Linked DNA regions of Coturnix japonica. The protein of the gene in region 3 purifies or fractionates together with the protein of the main gene of each other region. This does not show direct contact. Links are inferred from orthologs where the notes say so. Each region holds a gene or a part of one and is shown on either strand. Other genes may lie near its edges.

Evidence for each region.
Region 1: the proteins of E2F6 (region 3) and L3MBTL2 purify together in Homo sapiens (affinity purification with mass spectrometry; 5 studies listed by BioGRID and IntAct, counting the BioPlex papers as one, with this or other methods). This does not show direct contact. The link is inferred for Coturnix japonica from reciprocal best matches to the Homo sapiens genes E2F6 and L3MBTL2.
Region 2: the proteins of E2F6 (region 3) and YAF2 purify together in Homo sapiens (affinity purification with mass spectrometry; 4 studies listed by BioGRID and IntAct, counting the BioPlex papers as one, with this or other methods). This does not show direct contact. The link is inferred for Coturnix japonica from reciprocal best matches to the Homo sapiens genes E2F6 and YAF2.
Region 4: the proteins of E2F6 (region 3) and MGA purify together in Homo sapiens (affinity purification with mass spectrometry; 3 studies listed by BioGRID and IntAct, counting the BioPlex papers as one, with this or other methods). This does not show direct contact. The link is inferred for Coturnix japonica from reciprocal best matches to the Homo sapiens genes E2F6 and MGA.
Region 5: the proteins of E2F6 (region 3) and CBX3 purify together in Homo sapiens (affinity purification with mass spectrometry; 4 studies listed by BioGRID and IntAct, with this or other methods). This does not show direct contact. The link is inferred for Coturnix japonica from reciprocal best matches to the Homo sapiens genes E2F6 and CBX3.

The regions. Positions count from the first base shown.
Region 1 is NC_029516.1:45,382,156-45,385,340, reverse strand, and holds the end of L3MBTL2 (lethal(3)malignant brain tumor-like protein 2), read left to right. Parts: intron 1-561; coding exon 562-627; intron 628-1,560; coding exon 1,561-1,683; intron 1,684-1,905; coding exon 1,906-2,015; 3' UTR 2,016-2,680; downstream 2,681-3,185. UniProt on the Homo sapiens protein: Putative Polycomb group (PcG) protein. PcG proteins maintain the transcriptionally repressive state of genes, probably via a modification of chromatin, rendering it heritably changed in its expressibility.
Region 2 is NC_029516.1:26,706,516-26,710,736, reverse strand, and holds the start of YAF2 (YY1-associated factor 2), read left to right. Parts: upstream 1-1,410; 5' UTR 1,411-1,588; coding exon 1,589-1,614; intron 1,615-1,743; coding exon 1,744-1,869; intron 1,870-4,221. UniProt on the Homo sapiens protein: Binds to MYC and inhibits MYC-mediated transactivation. Also binds to MYCN and enhances MYCN-dependent transcriptional activation. Increases calpain 2-mediated proteolysis of YY1 in vitro.
Region 3 is NC_029518.1:88,734,208-88,738,426, reverse strand, and holds the start of E2F6 (transcription factor E2F6), read left to right. Parts: upstream 1-1,417; 5' UTR 1,418-1,654; coding exon 1,655-1,720; intron 1,721-4,219. UniProt on the Homo sapiens protein: Inhibitor of E2F-dependent transcription. Binds DNA cooperatively with DP proteins through the E2 recognition site, 5'-TTTC[CG]CGC-3'. Has a preference for the 5'-TTTCCCGC-3' E2F recognition site.
Region 4 is NC_029520.1:22,373,085-22,376,599, forward strand, and holds part of MGA (MAX gene-associated protein), read left to right. Parts: intron 1-6; coding exon 7-135; intron 136-1,259; coding exon 1,260-1,358; intron 1,359-2,269; coding exon 2,270-2,919; intron 2,920-3,515. UniProt on the Homo sapiens protein: Functions as a dual-specificity transcription factor, regulating the expression of both MAX-network and T-box family target genes. Functions as a repressor or an activator.
Region 5 is NC_029517.1:29,457,687-29,461,201, reverse strand, and holds part of CBX3 (chromobox protein homolog 3), read right to left. Parts: intron 1,182-3,515; coding exon 1,039-1,181; intron 1-1,038.

The DNA.
Region 1 (3,185 bases), on a different chromosome or scaffold from region 3:
AACCTGAGGTTTGAGGTTGGCTCAGGTTCCCCTCAGCATCCCCACCTGCACACCAACAGAGAGCTGCTCGTGCTGAAGTTGGGTAGAGTTCAGGTGGTCCTGTCCCTGCACATCTCCCTCTTAGTAAGCACACTACAGCCTCAGCCAGGTAGCAGGGGCACCTCAGCTATTGCACCTTTATCATTTCTCTGACTGTGAAAGGTAAGAGTGTCCCTCTGAAGAGTTTATTCCTTTCCTTGTCACAGGGAGGCCATTGCCTCACCTCTGCAGATTATTTCCTTCTGCATCCAAGCTACAGATCTCATTTTTTTTGCCTGTCCCTGCCCAACATGCACTAGGCCTCTCTCCCCTGTGCTGCCTCAGCCTGCCACCCTGTGCCCTCACGTGGAAGCACAGACAACGGCTGCACTATGGCCTTGCTTTCCCCTCAGCCAGTTGTCTCGGGAAGAGGGCGCTGACTCGGGGGGATGGGTATATCTTGTTTCTCGCTTATATCACTTGATCCCAGTTACCTACTGGTTATGGGACTTGGCTTTCGTTTCCCTCTCATCTCTATGGCAGAGCTCACAACTCCAGCGAAGGCCAAGGAGGTGCCCAAGAAGAGGAAGAAACCCTATGGAAAGAAGAGTGAGTGATGTTTGACTAGTGCCCTCCCGCTCGCTCGCAGGCTGGGCCCAGTTAGAGGAACCCTGTCTATGATCTGTCAGAGCAGGAGAGAGAGGCCTCGTCTTGCTGTGTTTGCTCTCAGTCAGCTCTGGGTGTGACAGCTCAGCTTCATCCTTCTTACTCGCCCCCATTATCCAAGAGCAGAGCGCTGTGTGTGTGTGAGAAGGCTCTCACAGTCTTTTCTGTTGGCTGAGGTACAAGTGGTGCTTGTTTCCAGGCGTGAGGTGTGCTGCTTTCCTACCATGTCTGTGGTAAGAGGGAGATTCTTGGCCGCAGCTGGAGGGCAGCCAGAGAGCAGCCCTGGCTGCTTTGTGCTGAAGGAAAGAAAGCCTTAAGATGGCTGAAGAGGCCAGTAGTGGGGCTGGACCATGTCACTGTTCTACCTTGTCCTTGTTGCTATCACTGTTGCAGTAGGTGTGGCAAGTAATGCATAGACAGGCAAGGAGTTCCTTTCTGGGGGGTGGAGAGCAATGGACATCTAAAGAGTATAAAGACACTGAACTTAAATAAAAACATGAGCTAAAAATTAAACTATCAATGCTACGCAGTCCATGCCCTGGAGTCACCATGCCCATTTCCTAGGGCTAGACCCAGACAGGTAAGCAAAGCTTTAATGGACTCCAGCAGGACCACCTCCTGGGAATGTATCACATGCTAAAGTCCTTTATTTCTATTGAAGGACAATGTGGAGGAGCATATGCTGAGGTGATGAATGTAGAGTTCTTCTTCAGCAGCTCCTTTTCTTTTGAGTAACCAGTTGGCAGCCAGTGATGGTGTAATTTGCTGGTTGGTTGAGCTGGTCCTTGGCCTGTGGCTTCTCAGTGGAGCTGGGGTGATGATTTACTGGGGGAAAGAAGTGCACATTTTCCTATGTTTTGTTATCTCTTTCTTAAGGAAAAAAGTTACCTGCCAAAACCCACACCATCAAGCAGACAGTCAAGAAGCCTCCCGCATCACGGATAAAAAGAGAAGCAAAAGCTTCCAGCAAAGCTTTGCCAGATCTGGCACCTGATGAGAGTAAGGGAATGAGTTACTTTACCTTGTAGCCATGTGCAGCTCTGGTGCTGGGGAAGGGGGTTGGGTGAGGTGCTTGGTGTGTGTTGGGGTGAAGCCTCAGAAGGGTTCCAGTTGCTCATAAAGGCTTAATTTCCCCTTTGTGTGGACCCAGAGAGATAGAAGGTGGACCGCGCTGGCTTTCCCTGTATTTATTTCCCCTTCTCTCTTTCTGTCCATTGCTAGTCATTGCCGTGCAGGTGAAAGAAGAAACCATCGACCCCTCAGAGGCAGTGTTTGATACTACAGAGCTTCCCGTTCCTATCAGCAGCATAAAGCAGGAAGACACAGACTGACCTTGGAGCGTCCTGCGGTTGCCTCGCCTCAATTGTGGCCCTCTGGGAAAGGTCCTGTCAGTGGGAAGTAGAAGACTTAGAGGGGCCTTCTCTTGTGGCAGGTCACCCTGCATCATCACATCTCTGCTTTCTTGGTGAGCAGGAAGGTTGCCCCTAGGCCTGCAACTTTAAGCCTTAGCAAATAGACTCCAGAAAAGCCCCAGGCTTGCAGAGGAGCGCGAATAGGGTGGGTGCTGCGTGCAGCAGTTTGTTCCCAGCCCCAGAGGCGTCTTTCTGAGCTGAAACCCCTGATGGGGAAAGGCTGCCAAAGGGCAGTCTGGGCTCTCAGCTGCGGCTGGAGGTGTCAAACTTGTGATGTGAGATGATGTGTGCGGGTCACATGTGTCAGGGAATGGGCTGCCATGCTGTGCTCCCTGGGTGCAGCTGCTGCCTTCGGGAAGGGCAGGAGAGGAAGAGTGGAAGGGGTGAAAAATGGAAGAGAAAGGACAATGCCTCTTGAGTGAGCAAGAGACCTTGTTGTGTATCATCACTTCTTGCTTTGGAACCCAGAACTGCAGCGTGCGTGGTGCACAGTTTGAGGTTTTTATTTTTTAGTAGTCCTACTGTAAATCTTGATCAACAATCTGTATCCTGAGGCCCTATGGATTAAATGAAGGAAGAAGTCAGAGGTTTGTGTCATGTTCTCCAGAATACCAGGCCTACCCAGACTGGGGAGAAAAACTAATCAGAAAGGTCAGTGTGGCAACAGAGGTGAAGAAGCTTTCTAAGAGTTCCTGTGAGCTTTGTACAGGTGGGGAAGTGCCTGCCCTGCCCGTGGTGCTGTGGGCCCTGCCTGGCTGCAGCACATCTGCCTTGTTAAATGCTGCAGGTTGTGCAGGGCAGTGTCTTAGTCACAAAATGGCTGCCCTGGCCCTGCTCCCCTCTCCAGTTTCTGCTCCCCAGCCCTGAGTCTATCCAGCTTGCATTAGATGCAGGGGGATCCCATTCCAAGGCAAAAGCAGAATGTTTCCTCTCATCCCCTCCCAGCGGTGCCAGCCCATGGACTGTTGCAGGGAATAGGTCAGGTGTGCTGCTTAGGAATGGGATGGGTGAACCATGGATCAAATTGTGCAAAAAGGAGAAAGATTTCAATCTGCTTTTGTTTTAATTCTAAGGAGCAGCTGGGATTTC
Region 2 (4,221 bases), on a different chromosome or scaffold from region 3:
ATACAAATAGATGAAAGAAATTGCAATAGAGGAAGAAAGGAGCAGGCAAGGCAGATAAAGGGAAAACAAGCAGCTAGGGAGTGGAAAATGACAACACTGGTAACAGGATGCAAATGCAGGAGGAAATGAGGATTAACAACCGAACACAAGTAGGAAATACTATGCAGCCTTCAAATTGCTTGCATCCAGGATCACAGGAGCGATGCAGAAAACTGCAGCCTGTACAAGTGTTAGTACTTAAGCATTAGTACTTTTACATACATGTAGATGTTCCACATAATGGATCTTTCATTGCTTCTACAAGAAGATGTCAAGCCCTTTACCCACGTTTTCCACTCCTTCATCACTTCCCAATATTTCTAGCTGAAATTCTTTACAAACTTTGCCTTCGGAAACGAGAAGTTTCTCTATTATCCACTCGCTAAATTTCTAAAGATGCCCCAACAACTCCAGCTGTGCTTGTTCACACACTCGGGTGAATCACCCCTTGGGGCACGTTTTGTTCTCAAAACCCCGCCGTTCCTACGCAAAGGCGATGCAGCAAAACCAGCTGTGGTCACTGCGATGCTGACCACCTCATTGTCTGCTCGCACTCTGCCATCTACCTGTACCGAACCGCCTTTGTTACACACTCCGGACATGTGCTCTTTGTTCTGTTTGCGCAGCATCCTGCAAAATGGCACCCTGCCCTGTGCCCGGGGCTGCTGCGTGCGGAGATAGCGCAGGTACACGACCGCTGTGCGCCACAGCACACAGCACACAGCAGTGTTTGAAGCGCAGTACTGCACATGGATACAGGCAGCATCGTGGGGCGGACAGGCCGGGTCGCACCGGAGGTTTCTAAGCAGAACCCCACTTAGCGCTCGGTTGGTTCCGCACAGCTCGGCCTGCACGGTATCTTCGGGAGCAGAGCGAAGCAGGATTACCACGGGAAAAGCCCGTTCCTAAGGGCAGAGCTGCACGGGCTGTACAAACACCTCACCTCTCTCTCGGAGGCCGTACCCCGGGCTCAGCCCTTCTGCAGGCGGCCGAGGGCTGCTCTCCACACCGACTGACGGCGGCCCGGCCCCGCACAGCCGCGCTCTGCCCGGCAGCGGCCTCCGCCCCGCGCTGGGCCTCTGCGAGCCGAACGCCGCGGCCCCGTTCCCGTCAGCCGGACAATGGCCGCAGGACGCCCCGCCGCTGCCGGCCCCGGGCACGGCCGCGCCGCCTCCTCTCCCCTGTCGTCTCCTCTCGTCTCCTTTCCCCTCCCCTACGGCCGCCCCCAGCAGCCCCCGCGTTGCCCCGGTCCCGCCGCCTCCCGGCCCGCAGCGCCCGATCCCCGGCGCTCTCCAGCCGCGAACCTGCCGCCGTGCGCGGCCCGCCGGGCTCCGCGGCCTGCGGGCGGCCGCTGGTTGGCGGCGGGGGGACACGTGAGGGAGGAGGGGGCAGCGGCGGCGGCAGGAGTTTCCCCGACAGCTGGAGGTTGCGGCGGTGGCTCCTCCTCCGCGGGTCCCCGTTAGAGGCGAGAGACCCCCGCGCTCCTCCTTATTGACAAATACACAAAGGGCCGCGCCGGGGCCGGGCCGGGGACGCGTGTGGAGGCGGCATGGGAGACAAGAAGAGCCCGACCAGGTAGGGCAGCGCCGCCGCCTTCCCGGGGCCCGCTCGGGTGCGCGGGGCCGGCGGCGATGGCGCCCGGGGGGGGGGCCGGTGTCGGGCGGCGCGCCCCGACCGTGCCCCGCGTGTGCTGTGTCTCCGCAGGCCGAAGCGGCAGCCGAAACCCTCCTCGGACGAGGGCTACTGGGACTGCAGCGTCTGCACCTTCCGCAACAGCGCCGAGGCCTTCAAGTGCATGATGTGCGACGTGAGAAAGGGCACCTCCACACGGTGAGTCCCCGCCGGCGGCCCCCGGTTCGCGAGGCGGCGGCCCTGACGGTAGCGGGGCCGCGTTCGGCGGGGGGGGGAACCGGGCCGGGCCGGGGGGTTCCCTCCCCACAGCGATCCGTGCACCAGCGGCGTCCCACGAGGAGCTGCTCTATGCCAGCCGTCAGAAGGTGCACGGTGACCTACCTGCTCCCTGCCCCTCCTGACACCGGGCCAGCGGGGGCTTCACACGGCCAGCGGGAGTGCTGGCCGGGGAGAGCATTATTAAAGGATCCTTTGTTAGTGTATGGAGCTTATGGCTTAATGCTGTCAGCCGGAGAAGTTTGAGTGGCAATAAAAGTTGCGATCCTATGATGAGCAGCAATTGCGTTTTAGATAGCATTCATAACAGCGCTGAATGTGACTCGCAGCAAACGTTACACATTTGTAAGTGCAGATGCGTGGTGAGAATGATGCGTCTCTATTTCTGAAGTTGATTTCCTGGAGTTCTGCGAACTGGAGCATGTGTCGGAAGTGCTCATAACTTCAGCTTCGAATATGTATATGTGTATATCATAAATAAGGCAATCAGTGAGGTAAATGTGCCGAGAGGAATTGCATCTGTCACATACAGCGTGCTTTCCAGCGATAAGTGTGGCGTTCTGTTGTATCGCAGGTAGATGTGCTCCAGCTGGTCACGTTCAGCAAAATAAAGGGATGATTGTAAGTTTGGGAAGGCAGCACGGCTGGAGGCTGCAGCCATCCTCAGCCTCCGGCCAGTCTGATAGACAAAGTGACTTCAGATTCCACTGATCCTGAAACTCAGTTGATGAAAGCACTAAGACGAAACAAACAATCAAGCAGGTCCTGAGATACCTGTGTCACCATTGCTTTTTTCCCCCTCCTTCTTGAATACTTTATAGGTTTTGGACTGTGACATAAATTGAACGTATTTTAGGAACGATTATTTTTTCTTTCCTCTTTCTCCCTCACAGCGTTGTGATATGCAGAGTTTTAGCTGATACCGTCATTTTTATTTCTCTGCTTAAACTCTGAAGTGATGGGGTTTGTGGATGTCATTTTCCCATTCAGTTTAAATGGGTCATGTTTTCATGTAGGTGCAAAGTCTGGGGTTATCAGATAGATGTTGGGGGGTGGGGTGGGCTCGAATGGGCAGTTTTAGGTCCAGCTCTGAGCTGAGATGTGAGCTGGTGAGTAGACCTTTGTATCTATGGAGAGAAGAATCCTTAGGGTGCCAAGGAGACACAAAAGGCTGTTTGGGTGGATTGATTGATTGATTGATTTAAAGGAAATGAAGTCCAAGGCACCAAATTGGGGCCCTATTAAACCATTTAGTCGTACCACCCTTAGAATTAGACATTTTTGTTGGCGTTGTTCACAGTCACAATACCGTGCAGTTCTGATGGCACTGGGAATGTTGGGGGATTTTTTTGTCTTCCATTTTGAATCTTAATGTTTGTATGTATGAAGCCGATGCCTCAGCACAGTTCTTAAGTGTGCATTGGTTCTTACTTCCAAATTCCTGCTTTTTTCTTCTTTAAATCAATGAAATCTATGTCTACTAGACATAGTAGCCCCTATGTGATGTAAGCAGTGATGTAAAGCACCTTTTTTTAGTTCAGAGAAATCTGTTTCTTTGTGATGAACTGTTTGATGTCTGCTTCTGAGTGTTAAAATTCTCTAAATGTGAACAGATTTGCAGATAGAGAACCAGGCAATCACAGTCAAGTGAAATGCTTTTGAAGGCCACTGCAAATTAGGTTAAGTTGATTGTAACTCGCGTGTTTTTATGCTAATTGTGTACAATTAATTTCACAGAATCTTACTCAGGTGCAAATTTAGAGTCAGATTTATGTGTGTTTTTACTGTTGAACCATTTTCCTCTCTCCAGAAGAATAACCTTTGATGCTAAGGGCAACATATGGATTATGAACTTTAAAACTGGTGGCGTTGTTAAGGGTAGTGGGAATAATTCTTACGACTCCTCAGTCATATTTTATTATACTTCTGGAGGGAGCTCTCAGTCATGGACTTGAATTAACTTGTTCCATGGTAGTGTCACCGTGGATGATTAAACCAGGTTGTTCTTGGACAGGAGACATCCAAGAGAAATCCTGGATGCAGCAAGAAGGGACATAACAGACTCCCAAGGTGGCACTGTTTTCTTTGGGTTTATAATGAACCAGTGCCCAGCATGGAGCCAGTTAGATGTGCTGTGAGTCAGGTGGGAAGCTGACATCCCATCTGCCGGTTGGAAATCCCTGTGTGTTTTGCTGTTTGCTCGACTGAAGACCTAAATTTTCCTGTAGACATGGCTTTCTTATTTACTTTCTAGACTAAATTGTTCTGTATCGT
Region 3 (4,219 bases):
AGATCAGGTTGGACGGGGCCCTGGGCAACCTGATCTAGTAAAGGTGTATGTTTGGTGGCCCTGCCAGGCAGGGGGGTTGGAACTACATGATTCTTGAGGTCCCTTCCAACCCGGGTCATTCTGTGATTCTGTGTGATTCTGTGATATACAAAAATATAGACAGATACTTGCATCCATATGATACTTACATGTATAATTTGTCTTTAATGCTTTCATACTTATTCACTTTTTCAGGACAATATTAGCTTTGGCTCATCTTTGCAATTGCACACATGCATCTACAGGAAAGCCCAGCTGCAAGATTTCATTTAAGGGGAGACTGCATTTGAAACCAGAAAATTTTAACGAAATCATTGTTGTAGGTTATATGAATGTTAAAACATCCCATTCAGCAAATGGAATGACCGCCCTCTGGTGGTGGGTCGAAAATCGATCCAATTGGAGAAGATATGCCTCCAGTTGAGTATAACAGCAAGAGGATAATCTTCATTCCTTATTGGACTGTACTTTCTGCTATTGAATACTTAGAGAGCATTATGTTGCCCGTAAGAAAGTGTGTGTTTTTAGGTATCAGTGATGTGTCACAGAAGCACACAGAATCACAGAATGACCCGGGTTGGAAGGGACCTCAAGGATCATGTAGTTCCAACCCCCCTGCCTGGCAGGGCCACCAAACATACACCTTTACTAGATCAGGTTGCCCAGGGCCCCGTCCAACCTGGCCTTGAACACCTCCAAGGACGGGGCATCCACAACCTCACTGGGCAGCCTGTTCCAGGGCCTAACCACTCTCCTAGTGAAGAACTTCCCCCTAACATCCAACCTAAATCTTCCCTCTTTTAACTTAAAACCATTTCCCCGTGTCCTGCTATTATCAGCCCTTTCCAAGAGTTTACTCCCCTCCTGGGAGTAAGTTCCCTTCAGGTATTGAAAGGCTGCAATGAGGTCACCCCGCAACCTTCTCTTCTCCAGGCTGAACAAACCCAACTCCCTCAGCCTGTCCTCATAGGGGAGGTGCTGGAGCCCCCTGATCATCTTTGTGGCCCTCCTCTGGACCCTTAACAAAATCTCCATGTCTTTCTTGTACTGAGGGCTCCACACCTGGACACAGTACAACAGATGGGGCCTCACAAGAGCCGAGTAGAGAGGGACAATCACCTCCTTATCCCTGCTGACCACCCCTCTCCTGATGGAGCCCAGGATCCCATTTGCTTTCCGGGCTCCCAGAGCGCACTGCTGGCTCATGTTGAGTCTTTCGTCCATCCCCCTGTGCAGCCTGTTCCATTGACCCCCACACAGCGCTCAGTGATGAGGGCACTGAGGTAACGATGCACACGGCGCTTCCGCTGCGAGAGAGCGGGAAATCCCCGCGGCACCGGATTGGTGCTCGGCCTTTGCGTCACCTTGGCCAGGTGCGCGCATGCGCAAACGCTCCATCCGCCGCCCGGCCGCCCACAGGTGGGGGAGGGTAGGAGCGGCCGCAGCGCTGAGCCCAGGCGGCCCCGGCACCCCCTCCACCCGGAGGTGGGGCGGGGATGGAGGCGCCTTTATCCCGCACGGGCCCCCAGCAACATCGGGTAGGGTTTTGAGTGCTCTGCCGTCTCATCGAAGTCCGCCGCCGGCGTGAAGGAGGAAGAGGAGGGGGCGCGCCAACATGGCCGCCGCCTCCAAGTGGGAGCGCCTGAGGCCGCTGCGGCCGGACACGCTGCGTCTGAGCGCGGTACGGAGCGGGCGGGGAATAGGGATGGAAATACAGCCTGGGAACGGCCAGAGGGCGGGGCTGGGATGGGCTGGGTTGGGGCTTGGATCCTGCTGCGGAGGGAGGGAGGGGTGTGTGGGGAGGGACGGCGCTGCGGGTTGCTGGGAGCGGGAGGACGTCAGGATAGAGCTTTTCTAATGTAGCTCTTTATAGAATCACACAGAATCACAGAATGAGCCGGGTTGGAAGGGACCTCAAGGATCATGTAGTTCCAACCCCCCTGTCTCTTTACGGGTAGAGTGGAGAGGTTTGATTTAAAACTTGGTTTCCCAGCCAAAATAGGAGTGCTTCACCACCAGTGCTTCTAATTAATGGGTACATATGACTGCAGAGAGTTGAGTGGTGGACTTAATAGAGACCCAGTACATTTTAAGCGCTAAAATCTGGAACGTGATGAAATGTAATCCCTTAAAAAGCTGTTTTAAAAGAGAAAACAGTTTCGGTTCTGTCTCTTTACAAAGAACAAGTTGACACGGTGCCAAAAACAAAAAATGCAGAACTAGAAAGAGGAGACAGAGCTGCTGGGGGCCATTGGGAAGGACAAGGAGGAGGTGGTGAAGCTGGGACCGAAGCTGGGAAGGCAGCGAAGGATGGTCGGAAAGTGGCATCGGCAGCCGAGGCCTATGGGGAGCTGTGAGGCAGAGTGGCCTCGTGAGGCTTATAGAGGTGTTATAGGCCTTGTGGGTTGGGTTTGTGTTCTGGGCCCTGTAGGGGGGATCCCAGGGCCTTCTAGAGCCTTTGTGGGGGGAGCATTCAGGAGTATAGGAGCATAGAATCACACAGAATCACAGAATGACCCAGGTTGGAAGGGACCTCAAGGATCATGTAGTTCCAACCCCCCTGCCTGGCAGGGCCGCCAAACATACACCTTTACTAGATCAGGTTGCCCAGGGCCCCGTCCAACCTGGTCTTGAACACCTCCAAGGACGGGGCATCCACAACCTCCCTGGGCAGCCTGTTCCAGGACCTAACCACTCTCCTAGTGAAGAACTTCCCCCTAACATCCAACCTAAATCTTCCTTCTTTTAACTTAAAACCATTTCCCATAGAGATCCCGTAAATGCTGTAACGGAGGAATTGGGGCCCTATAGATTCTATAGGGTGCTCCCAGGACACCATAGGGCAACAGAGACTCTTTACAGTGCCCTGTTGTCCAGGGCTCTCTCCCTCTCAGGTATTTTCTCAGACCTGAGTGCACTATTTGCAATCAGCCTCTCATCAGACTCTGGTGATGTTAAGCACCAAGTTAACCTGGTCATCTAGCTCAGGTCTGCTCCTGTGCTGTCCATGAGGTATGTAGCAAGAGCTCCACCTGCTTGTATGTCTGCAGCGTGCTGTGGGGACTGAGTGCAAGGCGTGGGGAAGGGCTGAGTGGCTGTGCTGGATGGTGACTGTACCACCTCCCTTGGTAGCCTTTTCCAATGGATCACCACTCTTTCCAAGAAAAAAAACAAACATTTTCTGGTATTGAACTTGAACCTCCCCTGGCACAGCACGTGCTTTGGGACTTTGGGAGAGCAGACTTCGGGACTCAGCTTATTCAGGCAACACATCACTGAAATATTGGGAGAGGCAGCTTGGAAAGATGAAGGGGTGGAGGCCTGTAAGGACATCATCGAGGGTGACTGGAGCTTTTTAACTGCCAAGGAAGGGTGAGTGAAGGAAAATGTGAATTTGCTGCTAAGGGGAAGAAGTGGTTTAGTGAAAGCAGACACAGATAAGGCTGGAGATGTTAGAAACCTCTGGGAATAGGCTGGAGGGATGGATCATCAAGGAGATGATCAACTTGAACAAGGAATTTGAAAATTAAGTCTGAATCCTATACCTGGAAGTGTAACTTGATGTGGTAAAGGCTGGGAAGTGAGATGTTATGGAATTATCCTGCTGAAGAGTCCTGTCCTGACCTGAGAATCTGTATGGACAGTGGGCTAAACATGAGATATCGGTATATCCTGCACTGAGGTGTATGCAGTTCTCCTTTGCTTGTCAAGTATTTGCTTCTGTGGGTGTGGGAGCCATAGTGGTGAGGCTGGTCTCTTTTCAGCAGTGCATGGGGATAGGACTAGGGGTAATGGGATGAAAGTACAGCATAGGAAGTTCCGCACGAATGTGTGGAAGAACTTCTTTACAGTGCAGGTGATGGAGCACTGGAACAGGCTGCCCAGGGAGGTGGTGGAGTCTCCTTCTCTGGAGATATTTAAGACCCGCCTGCATGCCTACCTGTGTGACATGGTGTAGGGAGCCTGCTTTGGCAGGGGGGTTGGACTTGATGATCTCTAGAGGTCCCTTCCAACCAATTCTGTGATTCTGGAGTGCTGTGTCTCATTTGGGACTGACCGATACAGGAAGGATGGTGATAAACTTGAGTGCAGCCATCAGCCATCTGTCAAAAGTGGCACATGTGTTAAGACACGTAACTGAAGGAGCATTTTAAGCCACAGCAACCCACGACTAATTGCA
Region 4 (3,515 bases), on a different chromosome or scaffold from region 3:
CTGCAGTGGGATTGAAGTTAAATTCTGTGGATCCAACAATGAGCATTGACTTGAAATACTTGGGTGTGCAGCTTCCCCTTTCCTACTCAAATTATTCTTTGTGGAGCTATCCAGGAACAAACCCCAATTCTCCAGGTGAGTGGAACACAAATCTGCTTGATTGAAAGTATTACATTGTATAGTCGATGATCAGAGGGATTCGGGACGTGATGCTGTTCAGAGGTAGTATTCTTTTTCCTTAGGGCAGGGATATTCAACTTTCCAAAAGCCCATAAACAAAACACTGTAAAAAGCATTTAACGTTTTATTTGATTAGGTTTTTGTTGTTGGGTTTTTTGTTTGTTTTGTTTCTTTTTTTCCCCACAAAGCTTTTGATGAAATATGCTTTTAAAATTACAACTTCTTGTGTTAATTTATTTGGTATCCCAACAAATGCAGTTTCTCATTAAGATATGACTGATTCTACTACTGGTAAAATACTGTTTTTTTAACAGTAAACTTGTTAGCTAAACAAAGCACAGGGTGGTTAATTCCAGTGTCTCTCTTGCTTCAGTATTCTGACTGCTGTTGTTTTCTCCCTGTACTGATTTTGGAGCTGGTAAAGTGGCAGTCCTTGTGTCCCAGACTTGTGTATACCACAAAAGAGGCTCATTCAATTCAGAGCACCCTAGTCCAGCTCTGTGTCAAGGGCAATTACTTCTAGACTAGCAATATATAAAACAGCTACAAAGGATCCTGTTAATATATCCACATTACACTTCAGCACTCAGAGATCGTGGATCATTTGACAGAGCTGTCACTGTTTAACTTTTGTGATTATTCTGTCTCTATGCTTCACAGATATTCTGTTGAATTTGACAGAACAGCAAACATTAAATGTAGTTCCTACAGGTCACTCAGATTCATTAGCTAAACTGTGAATGAGAAGCACAACTTACTTTCCCCATTCAGCTCAAAACTTACTTGTCCCGTTTTAGCCTGTTTGCATTTGGAAAGCAACTGCTTGCATTATTGCTAAGGGAAGAAGGGTGAAACTGGAGAGGATATTTTATGTGTAGGATAGAGGAATGCATAGTTACATGATAATTGTCCTGGATGCCTGGCTTTGTTACTTATTCCCTTAATTAGGGAAAAAAGGCACCTTATTCTGCCTTTTGATCTATTAGAGTGCATGCATCTCTGAAAATAAATAAACAATTCACTAGGATATTTATGTCAATCTTGATTTACAAACTGAGGCTGGCTTTCTTCTTTTCCAGATACTGGATTTCCTTTTGTTTCAAGAACAGGAAAGACAAATGATTTCAGGAAGATCAAAGGCTGGCGGGGGAAGCTTCATGGTGCTTCTAGAAATGAAGGTAGAAGAAACAGAATGGGATTAAAATAAAAGTGATGAGACGAGTGCAGATATTTTTATGACCTTTTTTCTTAATCTTGGAGAGATTTTGCAATTCAGTTTTAGTGTGTATTTTAATGGGAGAATTATTTTTGTTTTGGGATTCTCTTGAATATTGCTACTACTTCCATGAACAGCCAAGAATGAGCGGTTATAAGGGGAAAAGAGAAACTGAAAATAATAAAAAGAACAGAATCAACAAAAAACATATTCTATTATACACAGAAGGTTTCAGTGAAAATCAAAGTGGTATTGGTTTTGGTTTTGTTCATCTGGTTTAACCTGGGGAACAGTGTGGTAAGTCCAGGCTTCTGTTGCCCTAGAGACTTCACAATGATTTTCTTTTAGATTGGATGTATTTTTAACTCTAGATAGGTGAATATTTCTACATATTCAACTCTTTGCCCTGCCACAGAGAGAAATGAGTATTCAGCAGTTTGCCAGGTCATGTTTGGAAATTAGGTGAAATATTTCTACTGTACTCTCTGCATTTGAATACAGTGTTGTGTCAGGGTATTACGGATTTATTCTGCTGTTGCCAGATACATGTGGGATACGTATTTAGGGCAAACGAAAGTAAGCTGCACAGAAGCACTGACTGTTGAAGACTTTCTCTTTTTATGAATGTACATGCTTGTAAAATTTCTACAAAAAGAGTTGTTCAGACTGCTGGCTGTGTTTGAGATTGAGTTATATTTGATATTTGTGTGTTGTATTCTTAAAGTAATTACATACTTCTTTAAAGAAGTATTTAGCTCTTCTATACTGTTGAGTTGTAGTAAGATTTAAACATATGTATATATATATATATAAGATAAAAGCTTGTCAGCATGCTTTCCCAGGGGCCAGGTAAAATGCCCTTCATTTATTTAGGTGGAGGTTCAGAAGGTTCCTTGAAGAATCGCTCAGCATTCTGCAGTGACAAGCTGGATGAGTACCTGGAAAATGAAGGGAAGCTGATGGAAACGAGTATGGGATTCTCTTCTAGCACGCCCACTTCCCCTGTGGTCTATCAGCTTCCCACCAAGAGCACTAGCTACGTGCGAACACTAGACAGTGTTTTGAAGAAACAATCTACCGTAATTCCATCCACATCTCACACCTTCAAGCCTGCTTCTCTGTCATCTACCTCTAGGAAGACAAGGACTCAAAACAGACAAACATCTTCAAACAGCAGAGGGAGATCATCCTACAAGCCTATACTGCCTTCACCTTTTCCTGCCAAGCAGAAACAGAACCTTTCAGCATCAGTGGAAAAGGCTGCTAAGTCTCTCTCAAGTAGCAGTTCGAGTAACCAAGCAGATGGTCTCCTGATACCAAATCTGGATGAAAGCGTACTGCCAAAACAAATAAGTTTGCGCCATGTGCCACAACAGCAACAAGCATCTCGTCCGCCAGGTTTGTCTAAATCTCAAGTGAAGCTAATGGACTTGGAAGACTGTGCTCTCTGGGATGGCAAACCACGAACCTACATTACAGAAGAACGAGCAGATATCTCTCTGGCTACCCTGCTTACGGCTCAGGTAGGTAGCACTATTTTTCATTCTGTCTTTCAGTACTGTTGCTTTTTCAATTGTCTGTAGTTACTGAAGCTGCCTGTAGATGCAGAAAATGAGACTGAAGCTACTTATGAGCATGACAAAACACGATCTTCCTTTGTGTTGCAGCCTTTGTATTGGAAGTTCAGATCTGCTGTCTTAACAGTATGTGAAAATGCTAACTGTATTAGTAACGTGTTGATAGGAATCATTAATTGTTTATTATCTCAATTTCCCTGTTAAAAGTTGATGGGTACAGTTGCTATTCCATAACTGCACCTCCTTACTATTTGACACTTTTTTTTTTTTTTTCAATAGGGCTAACTCAAAGAAACAAAAAAGACATCGTGTAACTTTGATGTCAGCTGATAAACTCTTTTGCTTTCTTCATCACCCACTTCATAGAGAGGCTGTTTAGCTGTCTTAAATTGCATCTCAGAATATTAAAACATAAACTCTCCTCTATTGTATTTTTTTCCATACGTGTGACAGATTTTCATAGATAACCAGACCATGTAGTAGGAGGGAGTTATTATTCTGAATGAACTTAGAATAGCAATTTCACTTGCACTTGATTTCAT
Region 5 (3,515 bases), on a different chromosome or scaffold from region 3:
GAGATTTAGATTAGATATCAGGGAAATCTCTTCACTGAGAGAGAGGTGATGCACTGGCACAGCTGCCCAGAGAAGCTGTGGATGTTCCATCCCTGGAGGAACTCAAGGCCAGGTTGGATAGGGCCCTGGGCAACCTGAGCTAATGGGCATCAGCCCACCCATGGCAGGGGGCTGGAACTGTGTGGACCCTGAAGTCCTTTCCAACTCAAACCATGCTAATAGTCTGTAATTATATGGAAAAAAATAAAAGGCTCCATATCCAGAGCTGGGTATTGCAACTGTTCTAGAGAGTATGTATTCTGTTAAATAACATTTTACGCCGTCCATGAACGTTCCATCCAACAATCAAGCACCTCATCTGAAGCCCTCAGCCACTAATACTGCCACAGCGCTACTTCACAAAGAGGATGCCCACCCATTATTTTCAGTTACCAAAACTTTAAGGTGCTAGAATGCAGAAGGCTGCTTTGGGAGATGTGTATATGTAACTACTAATGTTAAAATGCTAGGTTTTAACATCCAATGCATCCCCTTTTCTTAGCTGATGCAAGCACTCAGAAAGAGGCTGAAAAATACCTTTTTGATACGTCTAAGAGCAACTCAAAAAAGCAAAGAACCCCCCAACCTCCTCAAATTCACTGCTTCAGTGCTGCCTACTGTTTATAGCCCTGCAAACTTTATTTCTCAGAAATAACATTCATTCCTCTGCATATGAAAGTATACCTATTTTATGACAACTATCAGTCTAACATACCTTGCTTGATATTGACACAAGCTACATCAAAGAGCAGTGGCAAAAGAACAATCACTGAGGGCTTTGTATGAGTTTTGGAACGTGACCAAGCACAAACCCTAAGCTACCTATCTTCAGTTTTATTGTCATACTCGCCTGCCCCACTTGAATAGACATTTATGCTGTCCTTCCCTTTCAGCTCTTTCAAGTGTATCCCCACCATCCAATCCCCCATCCACACAGTTATTTCAAATAAATGGTTAATATTTAGCATTGTACCAGAAAAAATAATGGTAATGCCTTACTCTGTAAATCCTTTCCACTTCAAGTAGTATTCCACCTTTCCATTCACAACACGTCTGTCCAGGACTTTCTCCACAACAAATTCTTCAGGCTCTGCCTCTTCAACTTTTTTACCTTTGCCATTTTGTTTCTTTCCCATTTTGTGCTACAAAAGAAATTCAGAATGCCATTATTCATTCTTTTGCTTTTACATCGTTACTTCACTGGCCAAATCCAACTTTGCTCAGTAAACAGCAAGGAATCATGTATTTATTCACACTAGAGCCAGAAGCTCAGACTCGTTTCACATTAGTGCATGAGGTCGGGTAACCTGAGCAAGACATGGTCATATTTTGGGTTGGTTTTGGTTGTTTTTTTTCAGCCACTTAATGATATACCCAACACAGAACACCAGTTTTTATTAAGGTGAAATATCTTTGTCCATACACTCAGTGCCTCCACTCCCCTTAGAAATTTAATTCTCAGAGTGCTACATGCTCAATATTTTTATCAAGCTTCTATATGTTAACTCCGTGCCTGTGAAAAGGCGGAGGGCAAGAAACAGCATGAGGCAGAAGTAAAGAAAAGTAATAAGGGAAAATGCATCAAACAGAAAAGGGGTGCTAATAATAATAATAAAAATAAAATAATAACAATAAAAAATAAGGTGGTTACTGCCTTTTCCAAAAAAAAAAAAAAAAAGGCTGATGGGAGCAAAGTTTACAATGCAGTGCTACCATAAACAGAATATTCAATGATAATCGATAATTATTGAACAGGATGCATGCCAGGAGCAGCAAACTACTGCAGTCCTTTCCCACTATCAGCCACGCACCCATGTAACTAACATTCAAAGGGATGGCAGAAAGGTGCAAACGTTAAGACAGCTACACTTAAGGTACAGCACTTAACATGTCATTAAACTCTTGCTAATTTACAAATCAAGTGTTTTAAGTTGACATTCGATATACTTTAAATAATATTCTTCAAAGTTCTTAAAAGAAATATTACATCCACATCATCCTCAAGGCATTCCCAGTTTAATAAGGCACAACTCAATATTGATAGAAGGACACCTTTCAGAATTTCCTTGTTTGCAATCTGGAAAAGGTCAGGACGTGTCTAGAATCTTGTCGTATCCCATTATCTGGAGCACCAACGGACCAAAAACGGTCTGATGGCCATTTTGGATTGCTCCTTATAGGAAAAATTGTTCAAATGGCAGCCATAAATTAATGGGGACAGTATAAAGCTCTGAGAGCGTACAGTCATGCAGCACCTTAAAGCAGACAAAGCTACTTCCTCACTAATGCGCTTCCTACACGACAGAAGCAGGCAAGCAGAAGTCATGGAGCACCTGCATTTACTTCATGGCACTTTTCTAGTCCTCTCTAGACTGAACGTGGGTTAGTTTGAGCGTATTGCGAAGCCATTTTGAAACTGATTTTGAGATTTTGCAGGATTATTTCTCAGTGTGGTAAAAGGAAGGGGAAAAAGTGTCTGTCAGATGCAAAGAAAACTCTTGTTTTTCACAAAGCGAAGAAGCTGAGCTGTCTTTCCAAGCCTATCTGTTGTGTTCTTCCTTTTGTTTCTGCATTAACTTCTCCCCCAGACACCCTTACTTTTGTTAGCAAGCCACGAATTGAAGGTGCAAGAAAGCAAAGATGAGGAAAAGGTTCAAGTTCCCCCTTCAAACAGTGAGTTTCCACATATGGTTACATCTCGTGCGACACTTGTTTGGAGTTGGGAATAGAAAAGAGATTATTTAAAACAGAGCACGTATTTCTATTTTGGTAATAACTACCTGCACGTCCCAGGTGTATTTTGAACCCAGTATTTATGTCTGAGAAGTACCAACCACACTGGCTTTTTTTTGCCTCCACAGGGGGAAAAAAAAAAGAATGCAGGACTGGAAGTAAATGAACACAAACATATGAAAACATCCAACTTGTCTATGAAGGCTGCTGACTGCAATAAATGAAAGCATTATAAAGAGAAATGAGATGAAGAAAACAGGGAGGGGTGGGTGGGGGGCGGGAAAGGAGAAAAGACTCACTATACCATGCTAACAACATTCTAATTACTGGTGTTGAGACAGGTGGGCTACAAGTGGAACATCTCCATCTGTGCTCTCCACTGGACTAAAATCCCTTTGGTTCAATGGAAGGCTGTTTTCTGATACCTGTTCTCAGCTTTGGTCATTCTCATCACCTCAATGTTTTGGATCTCTGTATCAAATTAATGTCTATTTAAAAGAAACACCAACTCTCTAGGATTGTAGGTATCTACAGAATCTTCCACAGAAGAAAATGAGTATTACAGGATCTGATCCTTTATCTCAAAGGCCAGTAAGCAACAACAAAGTCAAGGTTGCGTTGCTTTTTGCTCTAAGTATTAAAGGTTTCACTACATCTTCTGGTTAACGCTACTTTCCAAGCACTTCCTCAGCCTATTTAACCCACTCAAATAATATCTGACAGCAGAGCCTGAAGAAACACTG